Linked DNA regions of Yarrowia lipolytica. The protein of the gene in region 1 binds, or shares a complex with, the protein of each later gene. Links are inferred from orthologs where the notes say so. Each region holds a gene or a part of one and is shown on either strand. Other genes may lie near its edges. The genes, in order: YALI1_A17515g, YALI1_F05624g and YALI1_F28112g.

The links.
Region 2: YALI1_A17515g (region 1) and YALI1_F05624g share a complex: the UniProt entries of both Saccharomyces cerevisiae proteins name them as parts of the cleavage and polyadenylation factor (CPF) complex. The link is inferred for Yarrowia lipolytica from reciprocal best matches to the Saccharomyces cerevisiae genes PFS2 and YSH1.
Region 3: YALI1_A17515g (region 1) and YALI1_F28112g share a complex: the UniProt entries of both Saccharomyces cerevisiae proteins name them as parts of the cleavage and polyadenylation factor (CPF) complex. The link is inferred for Yarrowia lipolytica from reciprocal best matches to the Saccharomyces cerevisiae genes PFS2 and SWD2.

Annotation. Positions count from the first base shown.
Region 1 is NC_090770.1:1,748,289-1,755,053, forward strand, and holds YALI1_A17515g (uncharacterized protein), read left to right. Parts: upstream 1-3,282; coding exon 3,283-4,905; downstream 4,906-6,765. Other genes in the region: YALI1_A17486g (uncharacterized protein), read left to right, coding at 324-1,823; YALI1_A17511g (uncharacterized protein), read right to left, coding at 2,027-2,818; YALI1_A17546g (uncharacterized protein), read right to left, coding at 5,647-6,351; YALI1_A17551g (uncharacterized protein), read right to left, coding at 6,487-6,765. UniProt on the Saccharomyces cerevisiae protein: Integral and essential component of the cleavage and polyadenylation factor (CPF) complex, which plays a key role in polyadenylation-dependent pre-mRNA 3'-end formation and cooperates with cleavage factors including the CFIA complex and NAB4/CFIB.
Region 2 is NC_090775.1:558,177-566,356, reverse strand, and holds YALI1_F05624g (uncharacterized protein), read left to right. Parts: upstream 1-3,207; coding exon 3,208-3,297; intron 3,298-3,895; coding exon 3,896-6,289; downstream 6,290-8,180. Other genes in the region: YALI1_F05661g (uncharacterized protein), read left to right, coding at 181-1,896. UniProt on the Saccharomyces cerevisiae protein: Component of the cleavage and polyadenylation factor (CPF) complex, which plays a key role in polyadenylation-dependent pre-mRNA 3'-end formation and cooperates with cleavage factors including the CFIA complex and NAB4/CFIB. Has endonuclease activity.
Region 3 is NC_090775.1:2,807,589-2,813,673, forward strand, and holds YALI1_F28112g (uncharacterized protein), read left to right. Parts: upstream 1-3,639; coding exon 3,640-4,662; downstream 4,663-6,085. Other genes in the region: YALI1_F28092g (uncharacterized protein), read left to right, coding at 1,644-2,099; YALI1_F28107g (uncharacterized protein), read right to left, coding at 2,866-3,189; YALI1_F28123g (uncharacterized protein), read left to right, coding at 4,716-4,862, 4,942-5,037; YALI1_F28132g (uncharacterized protein), read left to right, coding at 5,661-5,987. UniProt on the Saccharomyces cerevisiae protein: The COMPASS (Set1C) complex specifically mono-, di- and trimethylates histone H3 to form H3K4me1/2/3, which subsequently plays a role in telomere length maintenance and transcription elongation regulation. Involved in mediating RNA polymerase II termination.

The DNA.
Region 1 (6,765 bases):
TGAAAATCGGGACACAACATTTCCTGTACTTATTTTGAGACGTTTTTTTTATATTTAATTTTTCAAAGTATTGATAGACTCACCTCAAGTATCGTACTTGAATCTTCAAGTATCAGTGGGCTGATAATTGAGCCCAGTATGGGAAGCCAGAATGTCAAAAAATGGCATTGTACTTCTCAAAAAAAAACACAAAAACTAATAATCAGATCACGACTTCTCAATTTGCTGGGGAAAATCCAAGTACTTGTCACAGTTACAGTACCACCATAGCCTTGTCTCGATATCCATCTCTAACACCCCACAAAACTTAACCCCAGACATACATGAGAAACACCAACATGCTCAACCAACGGCTGTCGATAGATGGAAACAATTGCACAGTACGGTACGTGGGAACCGACGTGCCCGTGTGGCCCGACGAAGAAGCGATCGGCGTGGAGTGGGACGATCCAGCTCGCGGCAAAAACAACGGATCAGTCAAGGGTACACAACTGTTCGAATGCACCCAACTGGGAGCCGGATCGTTCCTGAAAAGTGCGTCGTTGGCCAAAAAGCAGGTCCGCTATGGCACATCGTTTGTGGAGGCTGTGGTTGAGCGATACGCGTCGGAATCACGAGTGGACGAGATCAAGATTGGTACGAAAATGAGCCAGGTGTTGGGGTTCGATAACAAGGGTCTGGAGAATCTGACGAGCATAAATCTGGCCAACAAGGGCGTTTCAGAGGCCCATGAAACTGATAGTCTGCCTCTGGCTCGCGTGGTGCATCTTGATCTGTCCTTCAATCTCTTTACATCGTTCGAAACGGTGCTCCAATGTCTCCAGACAACACCCCATGTCGAGTGGATGTCTTTGAACGGAAACAGATTCAGAGTGGATGCTGAAGGTACTCCGAACTCATTGTTTCCCTCTCTTACCTCTTTGTCATTGACCAACACCTTGCTGTCTGAGAAGGAAGTACTGCTAATCATCAAACACTTCCCTAACCTCACTCATCTGGTTTTGGCCCATAACAAGACCATCAAGTCGATCGATTTGCGGGATACCCGTCTGCAGTTTCTCGATCTGTCTTACAACAATCTGCATGACCTCTCACACTTCCACTTCCCCCCTTCTTTGACGTCCTTGAACCTGTCTCAGAACAGGTTGGAGAACGTGACTGCGGAGACTCTACCCCGTTCAGACTCCCTCACAGAGCTCGATGTGTCCTACAACACCCTTCAGTGGTCCGATTTCGATCAGCTATGCATTATTTATCCGTCCTTGACATCCCTACGGATCAACGACAACCCGTTCACCAAAGAAGACTTTTCCACAAACAATCTTTCTGTGTCGCCTATCGACTCGCAGATCATTGCGCGATGGCACAAGAAGCTGAGTACGCTCAATGGCCGGTTTGTGGCCGACCAGGAACGCTCGGACAGTCTCATCTACTTTGTCAACTCGGTCATACAAGGCAAGATTGACTACCCACGAGACAAGGGGGCTAACAAGACCCATTTCGACGCTCTGGTAGCGTCGCTGGGCATTTCACAGGCCCACGCAACTCCCAGGGTGACTGAAAACTTTCCTACTGCCCGTCAGGCGTTTGTGAAGGTCACGTATACCACTCGTGTCGACCGTGGAACGAGTACGACGACCCAGAGACTCAACAAACACAGCTCTGTGCAAAAGATGAAGTTTGGCGTGCTAAGAAACAAGGGTTTTTCGCCTCTGCATTCCTGCACCATTGTCATTGACGATATTGAGGTGTATGACGAGCTCAAGACGTTGGATTTCTACGGAGTCACGGATTCTACAAAGGTTGACGTTTTAATTCAGTGATTAGTATGCGACGTCGCCCTATAACTAACACATACTGTACAGCGTCCAAATATATCGGTATACGTCTCGAATGGTTAACAGTGCGAATAAATGTAATAAGTATTTTGTTGCTGGTGCCCGTACAGTACCAACGAGTTTTGCTGCGGTGTCCACACCAACAAGTTTTGTCACTCGATATCAACCTCGTCCCCTAAGTTCCCAATCTACTCATGGTAAGACCACAGACCGTCGCCCAGATAATGCAAAAGTTCCACTCCAATGCCGTTGTTGACCTCCTCAATCTCCTTGGTGGACATGGTCAGCTTGCCCACCGCCAGCGCGTGCTCCTTGCCCTCGGCGTTGACAATCACAATTTGGTCCTTCTCCATGGGCTCGTCGGGCAGCTCTGCGCCCTTGGATGTGAGGCCTCGGCACATGATGTTTGCGCCAGAGAGCACAAACTTGATGGCGCCTCGATCTGTCTTTATCGAGGGGAAGTACTGGGGGAACTGGTGGACCAGGTGTAGCGAGGGGACCAGCTCGTCGTCAAAGTGCTGGAAAAACATGACTTTACCGTCGATGGTGTACAGAGAAATCCGGTCCTGGCACTTGACGTGGACCAGCTGGGCCTTTTTGGGGATAATCTGGTCGACAACAGGCTCCATATCGGGGAATTGCGCCACGAGCTTGGCCTTGAGAGCCCGCTGCGACGACGACTTGACGTTGGCCTTGGAGTTGATGTTTTCGTGAGAGAATTTCTTGAACATGGCGTGTGTTTGAAGATCCAGACAACCGATGATGGATGTTGGCACCAGATGATGGAACATGCAGATTTGGTGCACAAGGTTTTGCCGCGCTGAGTCAGCGGACGTCTGAGCCCCTCTCTCAGAATCTGGAAAATCGCATGTAAGGACCAAGTCGCTTACTAAGGGCTTGGGACGGTGCCGGTCACGTGCAAGGGTGACTGTTGTTCCCACCTGGGACGCACCCGGAGGATGGGAGTATAAGAAGGACATTTATGTATGATTAAGAAGACAAGTTATCACCAGCCTGTGAACGTATTACAGACAGCGAGCAACGGTTAGATTAGACAGCGACAATCTACCGACTGAGAACTATTCCGCAGATAAGAGACGATCGGATCTTACATCGCATAAATCCGATATAGTGTAGGGGTTATCACTTCCGCCTTTCACGCGGAGAACCCGGGTTCGATTCCCGGTATCGGAGGTTCTTTTTTGGTCTCGAAAGGGACCGTGGCCGATTTTTTGGAATAATGAGGATACTGGAGTGGATATTTTGTGGTCGGGATTTTTACGAGTAAAAATACGGGAAATTTGGAGCGATTCCAGGCGGTTCGTTTGCTTTGTCGAGATATCTGCCATATGTCGAGTCTATAAGTATGCAGATTAAGAGGTGCAAGAGGTGAATGATTGAGTATTTAAACGGAATTAGTAAGCCCGAAAAGTTGACATGACATATGCCGAAAAGACACACGAGACACATGTCATCCGATTCTGGGCCTCTCCATCGCCGTACCATTCCAATATCTGTTCACATTTTCTCAGGATTTTTTTATGCACCGTTTTATGCACCACAACTTACTCAGTTCATTGTCACGATCACCATGTACAGCACCTATCAGCGACCAGCAGGGTACCAGCCGCGCCAGCAGCCGCAGGGCGAGGAAGATCGACGACCTGCGCACAGACGGACCGTTGACCATGGCTCGGCGTTCGGCAAGTGGCATTTGGACCGGCTGAGTGGGCGCACGATCCAACCGGCCAACATGCGATCGGAACAGTCGTATATCGTCGATCTGCTGCCTCCGTCGGCCTACACCAACATCAACGGGTCGCTGCGGTCGACCAACCCGCACATTACGTCCGTGGCGGCCACTCCGGCCAAGTTCATCCAGGTGGCTCTCAACAAAGTGCGGCACCCGGTGTACTCAGCCACCTGGACGCCTGATGGACGACGACTCCTCACAGGCTCCATGTCCGGCGAGTTCACGCTGTGGAACGGTATGACGTTCAATTTCGAGTCAATCATGCAGGCGCACGAGAGCGGAGTTCGATCGCTCAAGTACTCGCACTCTGGAGAATGGCTCTTGTCTGGAGACCATGAAGGCAACGTCAAGTTCTGGCAGCCATCGCTCAACTGTGTTAACGTGATCGACAAGGCCCACCGTGAGTCGATCAGAGAGCTGGCGTTTGCGCCCAGTGACCACAAGTTTGTCACCGGATCGGACGACGGTCTGCTCAAGATCTGGGACTTCCACGAGAGCAGTAACGCCGAGTCGGTGCTCAAGGGCCACGGCTGGGACGTCAAGTCGGTCGATTGGCACTCGGAGCTGGGCCTCATTGTGTCTGGATCGAAAGACAACCTCATCAAGCTGTGGGACCCTCGATCCGCCAAAAACGTCAACACTTTCCACGGCTTCAAAAACACCGTCATGAAAACCACCTTCCAGCCCACTGGTACCAAACGGCTTCTGGCTGCAGGATGCCGGGACCGAACATGCCGAATTCTCGATCTGAGAATGCTCAACTCGGGCTCGTCGGAAGCAGGACCAACAGCAGGAACAGACATGCCCACCAGAGGAGATCGGTCCATGGCCGTGCTTCGAGGGCACGATTCGGACGTGTTTTCGCTCACATGGCACCCCACACACGCCAACGTGGTCACCTCGGGCACCAAAACAGGCTCCATCTACACCTTCAACGTCGACACAACTCCCGCCGGAGGAGCGTATGGACCGGACTCGGGAATTCTGCCTGTTAACACCATCCCCTCGGCCCACGACTACTGCGTTTCTACTTTGGACTACCACCCCGAAGGCCACGTGCTTTGTTCGGGAGGTCTCGACCGAATGACTCGTTTCTGGGCACGACCTCGGCCCGGAGACCCCACCTCCTTCAGAGACAAGTACTACGAACCCAAGGAGGAAGGCGTCTCAGTCAAGACGCTGCCCGGAGTCAACAATGCCACCAGCCGGGCCGGCATGGCTCGTGTCGAGCACGTGTCTACTCAGCATTTCAACACTGCCCAGCCCGAGGTGACCGATGACGAGCCGGTCTCCATTCCGGGTTTTGCTAGATAGTCGGAAAGAGGGACGTGATAAGAAGCATACGACACCATAACACGTGACACAATGGACAGGCGATACAACAGCACCGAGCATCTGATATGATGGGATATGATGGGGGCACTAAACACAGTGGGACGTGACTCAATTGCCCACGCGCAATCACTCAAGTGAAAGTCCTCTGTCTGGCATGGTCACAATTAGCATAAGGCAAGAAAGACCGTCCATGCAAAGTCATCTCTTGTCTAGTACTGTCTACCAATGGTATGATAAGACTTGTTTTTCATTTAATTAATGAATTGTATGTTACTCTACACTCTTGTATATACTACATGCTATGTAGAAGGCCACACCATCGCCGATTCAGAGAAGGATAATATAATGACTATTAGTCGTACAAACAATGCCAATCGAATAAGAAAGCCTCTATAGAACCGACTGGTGGCTCTTTTCTATCAATTGCTATATCAATATTGGAGACAGGTAGATGCGACTATAGTGGAAATCGTAGTTGGTATTAACAGAACCCAAGTACATACGGTACTGTAGTTGAAAGCTATCAATTGGAAGATATGGACGGGTTTCTAGAGCTCATGAAATTGAGAAAACGGCCTCTCATTTCTATATTTCTATACTTGTTCACTATTCCTTTGACCAGGTAGATGACAACAGTCTAAACTGGACTATATCGTGAAAAAAACCAAAAGACTACATCACAATACTTTTATTACAACTAATATACACATCCCCCTTCTCTCAGAATCCGTCCTTCTCGAATTGGTCGCCTTTCATCAACTCCTTGATGCGTGCAACATATGCGTCGAACAAAGGATTTTGGACCACATCCACAATGTGGTTCTCCATAGCTTGCGTGTCAGTCAGCCATTCGGGGTCCTCGGTCTGTGTTCCTCTGCTGACCATCCCATTCCCGCTCCGAACGTCTGTATCTGCAGGGGTAAAGTGCTTCTTCCACGACTTGGCTCTTTTCGGAGAGTTGGGGGGCGAGCTGACAGGAGAAGCCCCCAAAGAAGGCATATCGTCAACGGTGCGTTTCCACGTAGAAGTCTCAGAGAATCTCCTTGGCTGCGACAATGGGGTTGGCTTCACCGGCAGATAGGACTGCGACGACGATGGTGCTAGCCTCGCAGACCGAGAGTGCTTGAATTGGTATGGGGGAGATGCTTGCGACGAACTGGGGGGATCAACAAAAGTCTGGCTCATAACTGGAGGCTCAGTAGCTGGACCAGGAGGTTGGGTGGGAGAGAGGGTTTGAGACTGGAGAAAGGGATCAATCTGGGTGAGGTCGCCATCATCATCTTCTCCGTTCCACTGAGACTCTGGGTTGAAGTTTTTGAAGGAGGTCAGGGTGGCACCTTCAGTCCTGGTAGACTTGGGAGGGCTACCCTTGATACACACTCCCGCCTTTGATAGCATTTCCACTGCCCGGTCGTATTCGTCCATGTACGCGAATTTGATTTGAAAGCGATAAGTCTTGGTTAGCTGGAAAAGGATATCTCAGGGTATCATGTTAGGGTATTGCTGCGTTGGCGTTGAAGGTATCAATAATATTGTAATGTGGACAACCACTTGCGTCGCTCATTCGTAACCGACTCGTGGAACACTCACCATGGTATGGAATCTCCTCACCAAGTACTTGAAACCAATCCCTGGCGGTCTACAAATGGCCACAAACGGCGGGTTGTTCTTTCCGTAGGTGGATCCGAACCGCTCCTCAATCTCGTCTGTGTCAACATGCTCCAAAGAGGTGTTTTTGTATTTGAGGGAAATTTTCGCGCCCCCGGCGGGCGTGGTATCAATGGAGAGCTCTAGGGGCGAGTTTTGGTATTTGGTCCATTCGGACGCGTCGCGGTCAAT
Region 2 (8,180 bases), on another chromosome or scaffold:
AAAATCTGAAAAATGGAAAATTCCGATAAAAAACACAAAATACCGGTAAAAAACACAAAATACCGGTAAAAACAAAAAAAATACCGGCCAAAAAACATATCACCCGTAAACCCCCTCGAGGATCACGTGATCTCCCAACAACGGGTCGACCCCATATACCAACATCTCACGTTATCGGTTATGTCAAACTCTATCGAGTTACCCTACCGGATCACCCAGACCCGCCTACTGCATCTACGTCACTACTACAGTGGTCACGATCAGAACAAGTACAAGTCGTTAAAGATGGTTCTTGAAGACCTCGGAAAACGAATCAACGGCGCGTTTGCCAACCTGTCGAAGGGCGGCGATATTGACGAGGCGCTGGATGCGATGCTCAAGGAGGTATGTTCGGCTCTTCTAGAGTCCGATGTGAACATCAAGCTGGTTTCACAGCTTCGACAAAAGGTCAAGAACAGTGTTAAGGCGACGCCCAACGGTGCCTCCAAGAAGAAGGTGATCCAAAAGGCGTTGTTTGACGAGCTGGTCAATCTGGTTGGGGTGGACGAGAGCGCTGCTTCTGCCGCCAAGTTCAAGCCGCAGAAGGGCAAGTCCAATGTGGTCATGTTTGTGGGTCTGCAGGGATCCGGAAAGACCACGTCATGTACCAAGCTGGCTGTCTACTACCAGCGGCGAGGCTTCAAGGTGGGATTGGTGTGTGCCGATACCTTCCGAGCTGGAGCGTTTGACCAGCTCAAACAGAACGCCACCAAGGCCAAGATCCCCTTCTTTGGCTCGTACACAGAAACAGACCCCGTGGCGGTGGCAGCCGAGGGAGTAGCCAAGTTCAAGAAGGAGAAGTTTGAAATCATCATCGTCGACACCTCCGGACGACATCGACAGGAAAGCGAACTGTTTACGGAAATGGTGGATATTGGCGCTGCTGTGAAACCGGACTCGACAATCATGGTGCTCGACGCCTCCATTGGCCAGGCCGCCGAGCCCCAGTCACGTGCCTTCAAGGACGCCTCCGACTTTGGTTCCATCATCCTCACCAAGATGGACGGACACGCCAAGGGTGGAGGAGCTATTTCTGCGGTGGCAGCCACAAACACCCCCATCATTTTCATTGGTACCGGAGAGCACATTCACGATCTCGAGGCGTTTTCGCCCAAGCAGTTCATTTCCAAGCTGCTCGGTATCGGCGACCTCCAAGGTCTCATGGAGACGATGCAGAGTCTGAATCTCGACCAGAAGAAAACCATGGAGCACATTCAGGAGGGTATTTTCACACTGGCGGATCTCAGAGACCAGATGGGCAACATGCTCAAGATGGGATCGTTGTCCTCCATTGCTGGCATGATTCCGGGACTCTCGGGCATGGCGTCTTCCATTTCCGACGAAGAGGGTACCCGTCGAATCAAGCGAATGATCTACATTCTCGACTCTATGAACCAGAAGGAGCTGGATTCGGATGGATCCATTTTCAAGGAGGTGCCTTCTCGTATCACACGAGTTGCCCGGGGCTCGGGAACCTCCATCCGGGAAGTCGAGGAGGTGCTTCAGCAGCAGAAGATGATGGCCTCCATGGCGTCGCGAATGGGCGGCAAGAACGGCATGATGTCACGAATGCAGAACGCCCAGAACAACCCTGCCCAGATGGCTGCAGCTCAAAGACGGGCCCAGCAGATGATGGGCGGAGGAGCCGGAGGAATGCCCGGCATGGGAGGAATGCCTGGAATGGGCGGTATGCCCGGAATGGGTGGAATGCCCGGTATGGGAGGTGGTATGCCTGACATGAGTGCTCTGCAGGGCATGTTCCCTGGAGGAATGCCTGACATGGGCCAGATGATGAACATGGTACAGAACAATCCTCAGATGAAGGCCATGGCGAGAAGTATGGGTCTCGGCATCTAAGCAAAGAGCCTAGACGGCCAAGACGAGTAACGAGTCTTGGTGAGCTAGCACGAGGAGCGCAGCGCTGTCTTTGGGCAATGTGCCCCACTGTGTGAGACAGTCTTTTGTTTCCTCCCTGCTAGAGAAATCTGTGAAGAGGAACTCACAGAGCATTAATATTGTGTATAGTTGAATTATTTGGATTGGATGGGTACTGTAGAGTGTTGTGGAGCGAGCCATCAATGTGATAAATCACGTATATCATCTTATAACGGCGAATGTCCTCCGTCAAACATGTTGGGGTGTCCAGAAATGGAGAATTTATTATCACAACAGGTGGGTTTTTTGGACTGAAAAGATTCAGCGGCCCTGGAGTACACGCTGATTCTAAAGTCGTTCATATTGGTCCTTTTTTCAGCGAGTTCGAAACACCACCCCTAGCCGTGCGGCTCGGAAATTACCTTGCCCAAGTTTTTAATTATGGTGATGTTGCGTTGCGTCGGGTCGATCTATTTCGTGCTGAGTTCAGATGAATGAGGGATCTAAATGTTGGTGATTGAAATTCTTCATAAACAATTTTGGTATCAAATTACTCCTGGGAATCTCAAGAAGACAATGGTGCAATTAGGGGACTATTATGTTTATTATTGGCAGAGATATAGCTATAAAACATTAACTGTTGGAAGTTGACCAAATAAGAAACCGAAAAACATAAAACAGATCAAAACAGGGCTATAATAAACCCACAGACAATTCCCCATCTCTGAAAAATCTCTATAATCCCTTTTGGGCCCCCATCTGTCCTGTCTCCTCCAGCCAAATAAAGTTCATCTGCGAGACTACATTAAGTTGTGAACATTTCGAAAACAGTGTGTAACCACCAAACAGAACAACCAGTTGAAACTCGGATCATGGCTGAAAAACGCGAATCGCAGGTGAGTATTTGAAGTCACGTGATGGTTGGACGGTTGGAGCCAACCACGTGGAGCCCAGCGCGACGAAATGCGACAATTCGCAGAGAGATATGACCACGGACGGAGGAAATGGCGGTACAGGCCGCCGCCGTAGACTTGAGTGGATGACTAGCGATGAATGGATGGATGGACTGGCAGAGAGAGAGAGAGAGAGAGAGAGAGAGAGAGAAGGAGAGAGAGGAGAGAGAGAGAGAGAGAGAGAGAGAGAGAGAGAGAGAGAGAGAGCGGCAGGGGACCAGGTCACGTGACCAATCATGTGATCTGCAGTCTGACACTGACTACAGCCTGTCTCATGGGGACGGAGGTATGGTGACTTAACGTGCAGTACCGTCCAGGTGTAGACGATAGCAGGTGGAGGATGGCGCGGTGGAGTGGGCAGATCATGTGCTTCAGAGTGGGTCACTTTCTACTCGTGGGTCACTTTCTACTCGTGGGCAACTTTCTACTTGTGAGTCACTTGCTACTCGCGGGCCACTTTCTACTCGTGGGCAGACCTCGTGCTCAGAAAGGTCAGCTCATGTACTGAGACGCCGAGGCTGTTTGTGTGGCGATTTTATGGTTCTTGGTTGTTTGTACCATTCAGTCTGTGTCACTTGAATAGCCACGATCCCCCCTACACTCGTGAAAAGCAGTTCCGTGCTCTCTGTTCACAATACTGCGGCGTTTTCTTCTCTGTTAGACTGACCCATCTCCCAGCGGTTGCTCCCCCGTATGAGGGTGTGTCTAGTACTCTTCCATGCTGACCGCCCAATTCACCACTTCTGCGTTATTGTCATTGTCAAGTCGCCTAAAAATCCCCTACATCTTGTCGATAATTGTCAGCATGTCAGACTAGACGTTCTGCCTACAGCAATCCACAGGCGACCACCAAATCTGCAGTAGCCACTGTCAAGTTATTGATCGCTCAAGATTTCTTCTGTTGGTACTGACTGAATTGCCAGTGCTGAATCCGACTACGGCTCTTTGGGATCTCATTTGTCTACGATATATCAAATATTTGTCAGGGCCAGACTCACGGCTCCTCTTTTCAGTTCCCGCTAACCCAGACCGACGACTCCGACACATTTTCATTCGTGGCGCTCGGAGGTGGCCGAGAAGTTGGCCGATCATGTCACGTCATCTCGTTCAAAGGCAAGACTATCATGCTCGATGCCGGCGTGCATCCTGCCCATTCCGGCCTCGCCTCCCTGCCTTTCTACGACGAGTTCGATCTCTCAACCATTGACATTCTTCTCATTTCACATTTCCACCTGGACCACGCTGCTTCTCTCCCTTATGTGATGCAGAAGACCAACTTCAAGGGCCGGGTATTCATGACCCATCCCACCAAGGGTATTTACAGATGGCTCTTGTCCGATTTTGTGCGAGTCACCTCTGGAGCCGAATCGGACCCAGATCTCTACTCGGAGGCCGACCTCACCGCCTCGTTCAACAAAATTGAAACCATCGACTACCACTCCACCATGGAGGTTAACGGAGTCAAGTTCACAGCGTACCATGCCGGTCACGTGCTCGGAGCAGCCATGTACACGATAGAAGTCGGTGGCGTCAAGGTGCTGTTCACCGGCGATTACTCTCGAGAAGAGGACCGTCACTTGAACCAGGCCGAGGTGCCGCCCATGAAACCAGACATTCTCATTTGTGAAAGCACATACGGCACCGGAACTCACTTGCCGCGTCTAGAACGTGAGCAGAGACTGACGGGACTGATTCACAGCACACTAGACAAGGGCGGAAAGTGTTTGTTACCAGTATTTGCTCTTGGACGAGCCCAGGAGATTCTTCTCATTCTCGATGAGTACTGGGAAGCCCACCCTGACCTCCAGGAGTTCTCCATCTACTACGCCTCTGCTCTGGCCAAAAAGTGTATCGCTGTTTACCAGACTTACATCAACATGATGAACGACAACATCAGAAGACGTTTCCGAGACCAGAAAACAAACCCGTTCCGGTTCAAGTATATCAAAAACATAAAGAATTTGGACCGTTTCGACGACATGGGTCCCTGTGTGATGGTGGCGTCTCCTGGAATGTTGCAGAGCGGTGTTTCGAGGTCTCTGTTGGAGAGATGGGCACCTGACCCGAAAAACACGCTCATTTTGACGGGTTACTCGGTTGAAGGAACTATGGCGAAACAGATTATCAACGAGCCTAATGAGATCCCCTCAGCTCAGAATCCGGACCTGAAGGTTCCGCGACGTTTGGCGGTGGAGGAGCTCTCGTTTGCTGCCCACGTGGATTTCCAGCAAAACTCTGAGTTCATCGATCTCGTGGATTCCAAAAACATCATTCTGGTCCACGGTGAGCTCAACAACATGCAGCGTCTCAAGGCTGCTCTTTTGGCCAAGTATCGAGGCCTGAAGAACAGTCCTAGAGAGAAGACCATTTACAATCCTCGAAATTGCGAAGAAGTCGAGCTCGCGTTCAAGGGCGTGAAGGTGGCCAAGACGGTTGGCAAAATGGCCGAGGAAAAGCCGCATGTTGGTCAAATAATTTCTGGAGTGGTTGTGCAGAAAGACTTCAATTACGGACTCATGGGCGTTGCTGACCTGAGAGAACACGTTGGACTGTCAACCTCTTCCGTTCTGGAGCGACAGACTGTGACGGTCAACGCAGGAGTGGATCTGGTCAAGTACCATCTCGAACAGATGTTTGGATACGTGGAAATGAGAGAGACGGAGAACGTTAAGATTGAGGAGATGGAGGACGACGTGGCTGAGGAGGAGGAGGACAAGGAGGTGAAACAGGAGGTAGAAGATGTGACCATGGAGGGTGAAGTCAAGGATGAGACCGCGGAGGAGGTCAAGAAGGAGGAGGAGGTTGCGGAGGAGTTCAAACAAGAGGTTGAGGGTGATTCCGACACTTCTGCGGGAACCACATTCGTCGTGATGAACTCGGTCACAGTGAAACACACTCCCACAAGTTGCACCATTGAATGGGTGGGTTCCTGTCTCAACGACTCCATTGCCGACGCTGTTCTGGCCATTTTGCTGACAGTGGACAACTCCAGAGCGTCGGTGAAGATGTCTTCCAAGCAATGTGCCCATTCTCATGGCCATGAAGACGGCCACTCAAACTCCTCTCTCGACGAACGAGTTCTGCAGCTGTCTTCGATTCTGAAAGCTCAGTTTGGAGACTCGTACATTGTTTCTGAGGATGGCAAGTCGGCCAACATCAAGATCGACGCCATGGAAGCCACGATTTCCTTCTCTGATTTGTCTGTGACCGGCTCACCTCCTCCTCTTGTTCAGAGAGTCCAGGTGGCTGTCGATCGGGCCATTTCGCTCGTCGCTCCTCTGGCTCAGAAGCTGTCGGCCGTGGACCTGGTTGAAGGTTTCAAGGCCATTGAGAATGTCAAGGATAGGGAAGAGAATGGGGAGGTGAAGGCAGAAGATGAAGAGAAAGTCAAGGCGGAGGAGAAAGTCAAGGAGGAGGAGTAAATAGTATCGAGTTTGATGTACCCAATATACAGACTGTAATATGAAGCGTTCGTAGATGATGCAAAGAAACAGGACTGCCACCAGTCTCTGCAAAACCCCTCGGACCAATCTCCTCAGTCCCACCTCTCAGACTAACCGGCCAGTCCAGTTTAACCCTTCCCCACATCACCGGACCAGCCAAGGGATGGATCTAAATCTCTTTTAGTGAGTTCTTTCACGACAAGACCTTTCTTTGGAACAAAAATCTCGAGAAGAAAATGGACGAAAATGGTACCAAAATTGTTCCCCTGACTCTTTGAATCTTTTCAGACCTTCTTGGTTTTCGCTGGTTCTGATATTGAGCGAGTTATGAGTGCATTAGAGAACGGACATCCATAACTAGTGGGTTAGACAAACTTAAGTATAAGTTCAACTGGATTTACTTGAGAAGCAACCAAAGAATGAATATATCACACCAGAAGAGCAGTAAGTATTTCTGTAACTGGGTTTTTAATAGGTAAAGTACTTCTTTCAAATCAACTGATGTAGTCTGTTTTGTATTTGCTTGTCTGGTTCGACTGATAAGGACCCCCAGCACACTTTTTTACTCAACTATTACCAAGTAATTCTCCCAACTAGAGTTTTCCACTTCTACTGACGCCTCATAACAAGTCTCACAGCCTCTGCAGAGATTATAAGTGCACTCAGTGGGTATTGACAGCAGATAGTAGGTATTGAGACCATATTTGCCTCTTGCAATCTTCTCAATGATGGAAATCCAACTTGTGAGACAGTAATCAAAAGTGTGTCCTCTGACTGTCTTCTATGAGACATTGCTCATAACAGTAGAGCTAGAGTGGAGGGTAGATCTACAAGTAGGGGTATTAGGACGGCGTGTACAAGATTGTATAAAGATAGCTCCGACTATCGACACTGCGGACTTGACGGTTCCAGTTCGACATCCAGAGTACGTCATGCGGGACTACTGGCTAACGCCGCCAGACTAGAACAAATGGGCTACAGACGAGTGCTGTATGTCCAGCAATTATAGCACTGTTCTGTACCTACTTGTACACGTCCAACCCACACACCAGCCTCTACTCCAACATGTACTCACTTCTTCACCCCGCATTCCATCACGTCTGTTTCAGTCCTGCATTCCTTTGATTCAAGAACCGTACCGTTTTTCCTTTTCTTTCACGTTACTTTTTGGCCGGCTTGGCAGCAAACGCCGGGTCAAAAGCCGACACATGTACCGCCAAAGAAGCGATACGAGCTGGAGACGTCAATGGCCCCAAAGTGCAATCCAGTGCGATGCTCGTAGATGCTCGTAGATGCTCGCACATTCTTGTATTAGCATTTGGATTCCGTGACATTGTTTAGACCGTTGCGGGGAACCCTTGTGCGTACGGGTGACGTCATGATGATAACAAGGCGTGGTGGGGGTGGGAGGGGTGACAAGAGTCAATCATAGGCGGTCAGAACGCGAGATATCGGGGAAATAATGGCGCCAAAATACTCTCGGGATTAAGATGTTTCTAGAAAGACTTTGAAAATCAAAATCGACGACCCACTTCAGCTCAAACTGGACCCCTATTCAGACTGACGTCATCACCACCAACCATGTAGAGAGAGATTCAGCGTATACCCACCGAATCACGTGACCAACAATCAATACCTCCGCTTACAATACTGTCCGAAATACGTCATACCACGTGTTTGGTTCATGTGGTCTCCCCCCTTGATAATTTATCCCCCCTGGACTTGGTTGTTGTTCTTGGCTGTTTCCGCATGTGTGTACATACTATAGCAATTAGCTCTATTTTTGGATACAAGTGGGGGGGGGCGAATGGAGGAGACCAGAAAAGGAAGTTCTAGTAGACGGATTGCGATTCCAAGAACATTATTGGAC
Region 3 (6,085 bases), on another chromosome or scaffold:
CTAGGAGAAGAAAGGCAGATACGAGCAAGAGAATGAGTAAACAAGACGTCATACCGTTTGTTCGAGCTTGCTTGTTCCATGTCTATACTGTCTGTAGCCTGCCAATTTGTCTCTGCATGCCACATTCTATGCCGGATGTACTGATGATTTCTTCCGTCACTAGAGATTGTTCACTTGTAATTACCCATCCGCGGGCCAACTGCTAAATTACTGTATACCAGCTCAAAGCTTCACTAGTTGACCGTGTCTAAGGACTAATACCATACATACTGGCGACACCGGGCGCCTAATATTACCTATTTGACTTGCGCGCCAGTCCGATTCGGTCGAGATATGCCGCCTTCTCGCCCCATTCTCTGCCGCCTCATTATCTTTTTTCTCGTCGCCTAGATTGGCTACACCCGTTCTCTGCAGCGTCGGCAAACTTTACCCCGGAAAGCCGGCTTCCTACGATAAGACAGGTTATGCAGTAGACCCACTACAGTACAGCGATATCGGAGCTCGGCTTTTGCTCCGATACAAGTAATTGAAATGCATTCGGATGGTTGAGATTAAGAGCTTGCCTTTCCACTACTATTGAAGACAGTTGTGCTGAGTCTCATAATGTAAAGTGTAGATGCTAAATTGCGGTACCTCTACTGTAGCTATATTTCTCTGAGCTCAGTCTAGACCTCCATCATCTTTTCCTCGGACACAAGGACTGCCCCACCATTCCTTTCAGATGAAATTGTGGCGTTTTCAGATGCCGGACATACTTCCGTGAGTGGTTGAAATTGATTACAAGTGATTACAAGTGGATTCGAACGACACTCACCCCAGTATCGTACATTCACTCTATCAACCATACTCATCCGCCTCATCCACGGCTGAACTCAGATAGTAAACTCACCTTGGACCGACGGAGACTGGGATATAAATATAAAACATGCTGTAGCTTCCTCGCTGCTACGGGAATCGGAAGCTCGGAGGACCCGGCGCGCAATCAACGCATCCGAAATTCTTTTTATAAATTCCGGTACGACTATAGTGATTGGAGCAGCTTTTGGATATACACAAGGTAGGAGGTTTGGATCCACCCCTTTGATTAAACTACTTTTGAAAGACACACATGACTCCACTCATTTTTAGATCCACCCATAGCATGAGATGTTCTACAGGTGATCAGGATCCGAACATGGCCCCTGGCTGTGTACTGTAGTCAGTTATACGAGTAATCACCAAACAGATACTTGTGCTCGTACACCTCATTACCCCTTAGCTACTCGTAGTCTTCCATACTCTACTCTCCTCCGTAGGCCCAGCAGGTCACGTGCCTTGGTATGGCAAATGGCAAATAGGTAAATTCACGCTGTTTTAATTGCGACGTCGCAAATGAAGGGAATATATTTCCAAGTACTCCCTACAAGTAGTTGATAATGAACCATTGTCTCAATAAATAGTAACCCCTTTCTATTACTAATCACAGCTAGACCAATAGAACTCCGTACAATTGCAGAGTTTGGGATAACCCAGATACCGCATCGACGCACCTCAGGCCGGGTAAGCTCCGCATCTTCATTCTCCAGTGCAACTATCTAAAGCAAATCAAGACCAGATTATTGGAACATCTTAACCACTCACACAACACACACACACAATATACAATGGCCTTTATGCAGCGATCCATCTTTGCTCTCCGAGCCGCTACCCCCGCTATGCGGGCCCCCGCTTTCCGAATCGCCCCCTCCATGCGACGATTTATCTCCACCGAGACCAAGGATGCCATTGAGACCGCCATTGGCACTGCTCCCGTGGTTCTCTTCATGAAGGGCACACCCGAGTTCCCCCAATGCGGTTTCTCTCGAGCCACCATCCAGGTGCTTGGCCACCAGGGCGTCGACCCCCAGAAGTTTGCTGCCTTCAACGTTCTTGAGGACGAGGAGCTGCGTGAGGGCATCAAGGAGTTCTCCCAGTGGCCCACTATCCCCCAGCTGTACATCAACAAGGAGTTTATTGGCGGCTGTGACATTGTCATGTCTATGAGCCAGAGCGGCGAGCTCGCCGAGATGCTGCAGCAGCAGGATCTGCTTGCACCCGAGGAAGAGGAGCACATGGAGTAAGCGTGCGACTACTCTGACGTGGACGGTGACGACTGATTACAAGTCAGGAGGATATATATTTGCAATGTACATATTATAGAGTGTTGTTGTTGGTGATTGGATCGTAGTTTGTGCGTTAGTAAGAGTATGTATGTACACACATTCAAGGACAACATGTATCAGCCTCGAACATCTCAGGGCCGTGATTAGGATATGTATGTCGCTTCCGCCCGAGATAATGTGCATACTTACGGAATCAATTGCTCCACCTTGTAAAACGATCACTACATTTGGTCTCAGTAGAGCAATGAAAGCTTGTACATCACCCATTTGTTCGAGTACAATCCCAGTAACCGAACTACAGTATAGTTCACATATAGCTTTTACGTACTGCTGACCATTTGCCACTTTCAATGTTCATGTATTACCCTGCTTTTTTTGTTCATTCCCTTATCCCTAGATTAGTAAAGCCTTGGTGTCGCCTTCAACTCATAAGACCGCTCAGAAACCCTGCCCTCATCAGCTTGACACAGATAGTGAGAAGGGATGTCCACTCGTGCCTTTCAGCTGGACCCGATGGACCTTTGAGAACAGCTCCATTGAGAGTGGGAGCTTACGCTCTTGATTTGCTGTGTTGCAAGGGCACTAGTAGGGGTACAGATGTCATTTCAGTTCAAAGACCTACTCTTGTGCCATCTGCACGCCCTTGCAGCCTCGGACCTTTTACCAGATAGAAAACATCATAGAAACCACACCACACAAGTTACTCACCTGGCATGTAAAATGCTTAGAATCGCGGGGGTCGTCGTTCAAAGTAGCTGGAGGTGGACATGAAGGCCACGGAGGTGTCAAAAACCCACTCGCCGACATCGAGGTATCGCTCGATGTACGAACGAGTATCCTTGTTCTCAAAGTCGTTGGTCTTGATGGTGAGACCAGTAGATCGCTTGACACCGGCCAGAATGGTGGAGACCAGAACAAGGTCAAAGGAGAAGTGGAAGAGTCTACCGAGCTGAGTTAGCATGAGGAGGCGGGTGGTCGCACGTGCTGATAGAGGCACCAGCAGACATCCTAGAGAAGTATGAATTGCAGGAGGAAAGCGTGGTAGCATTTCAATCTCCCTAATCAGTTTTCGAGTTACTCACAGTGCCCATTATGCCTGGAAATAGTAGTAGGAAGAGAATTTTTGAAGTGGCGTAGAGTACGTGAAGTAAACATTTGGAACAATGGGGCAAATAAAGTTTATGACAATCAGTCAGAGCTGGCTATTTGGCCTGTCTGACCGTTTGACATGTTTCGCCACATGTTTGCTGTTATGCGTAATTAAAACATCCGTATGGTGACCGTGTGTGAATTATATACACTCTCTTCTCTAACCTCGCTACTGTACACTCTACTTGAGGCATCACAGACACCCCTTGAGGTGGGACAACCTAATTTTCTACTCACGTGACCTAATACATCGTCAACCTAAAAAATACACCAAACGAAACGCATAATAGATCGTCACATTACAAACTACGCATCTTACGGCAGAAGAGAAGCCAAGGAACGGGAAAAAATGGAATCGGTTCCGGCAAGTATCGAGACATACAAGACGCTTAAGCCGTCCAAAACGCTCCGGTACCACCATAACGACCCCATCACATCGCTCGATTTCGATGACACTGGAGCCTACGCCGTCACAGCTGGAACAGATGAATCCATTCAGCTGTATTCGGCTCACAAGGGCACTCACCAGCGATCCAGCTACTCGAAGAAGTATGGCGCGCATTTGGCCCGGTTCACACACAACAGCATGAGCATCGTCTACGCTTCCACCAAGGAAGATGACACAATTCGATATCTGTCGTTGCACGACAATTCGTACATCCGGTACTTTAGAGGCCACAAGGACAAGGTGCACGCGCTCAACGTGTCTCCTATCAGTGATGTGTTGCTTTCGGCATCAATGGATCACACTGTGCGGCTATGGGATCTCCGGTCGCCCCACTGTCAGGGAGTTTTGAACCTGGTGAGCCCGAATCTGATTGCATTTGATCCCCGAGGTCTGTGTTTTGGCGTGGCCAACACATCGGCCCAGGACCTGTCTTTGTACTCTGTTTCTGCATGGGGATCCGACCCCTTCGCCACGTTTGCTCTTCCTGCTCCCCCTGGAGACGGATGGGCCTCTGTAGAGTTCTCCAACGACGGAAAGTATATTCTCTTGGCGACTTACGGAGAGCAGCACCACGTCATTGATGCTTTCACGGGTAATCTTACGCACAAGCTCGTTGGCCACCACCCCTTAAGACGCGATCAGGACAACATGCGGGGCGGCTCCACTCACACTGCATTCTCTGTGGACGGCCGCACAGTGTTTGGCTGCTCGCGAGACGGCAAGATTATTGTCTGGGACTTGCAGGACCGAGTCGACGAGCGAGGACGACTGTACCCTTCCAAGGCTCTCAACTGCGCACCCAACGCAGCCTCCCCTCAGATTCTTGGTGTCAATCCAGCCTCCATGCAACTGGCCACAGCAGATAAAGAGCTTACTTTCTGGCTGCCGGAAAAAGACGTGGCCGAGCCTCCAAAGGAGGCATAGATGTGGTAAAACCTCCAGTCTGCCACAGCTGTGCACCTCGGTTATTATGAAACATGACTCTAGTGTGCTTGCGTACATATTTTCACGGGGGTGGACCGAAAAGGTTCTCACACGACAGTATGATTAGTGGTCTCGACGCACGCACCATGGGGGTATCCCAGGTTCCATGCACGTGGGGAAAGCCTGCGTCAGAGTATCCTGTGCTCTCACTGAACCAGTACCAGTATTGTACAATGACTTGACTTTACAACGCACGTTGTTGTGTTGCTGTTGCTCGAGTGTTCCTGGCAGCTTGAGCTTGCGGACCTGCAAATGATCAAATTATCGGACCATGATGAGATCCAACTTCCTGGCGCTTTCCCACATAATATCTAACTGAATAATATATAATGAAACACACAACTGTGGCTAATTTTTATCTCTGGCTGTGGTGGCGAACGAGTGGTACGAAAAGCACACCAGCATCGAAAAACGGCCCGCGTAAAACGTCCTATTTTGTACAGTGCAAGCTCCTTGTGTGGACGCCATACGGGAGGATAGAGTATCGTGTATACAGAACACGTCTCCTTCCACAGAATGTTTTGAATTGAAACCGGTCAGGGATTCCAGCAGTAGCTCGAGCCGGCTACGACGTCTTGGGGGGATTGTCGCCATACTCCCGTTTCCCGTGGTTTCAACTACGTACTCCACCGTTCACATTCGATAAATCAGAACCGTCTGATATCGAAGGTGCCAAATGCCGAACCGGATTTCTACTGCATTCTGGACTATGCCGACATGCATCCTCGGCCCCGACCACCACAGGTGAAGTCTAAGAAATTCGAAGTAAATAATATAAGTATCGCTATAAGTGCAAAAGAAAAAACGAAAAAGGGGACAACCAAACAGGTGCAGATTTCTATGTGTAGGAAAATACTATAGCATGTGCGATGCCAGATGCCGTATATAATCCAACCATGCCCTCGAGTCAGAGAACCAACAACACATAATTTCGAAACATGCCCAAGATTAAGAACGTGTCCAAGCTCAGCCCATACACTGTGATCCAGTGCGACGCATGCTTCACAAACATGTACTACAGAGACGTTTTGGAGCACTGTGTCGACGAGCATCAGGATTGGCTTCATCTCATGAAAATGGAAGACATTGTTAGCCGGTTCTTCTACCTGGTTCCTCTCAACCAGACTCTGGACCTGGACAACAACCCAGACTACGAACTTGGATCTGCGTATAGAGCAGCTACCACACAGAGATCTGCCCTTCCCCAAACGTCTTCTCGCGAGGATCTTCACAACTGGCCTCTAGAGAAGCCCCTGCTGTATTGACTTGACCAACCACTCACACACTTAACTCCGCATCCAAAAACACCACCTAACAGCAACACTCCAATACAAAGCATCATATACAGCTTCCGTACATTCAT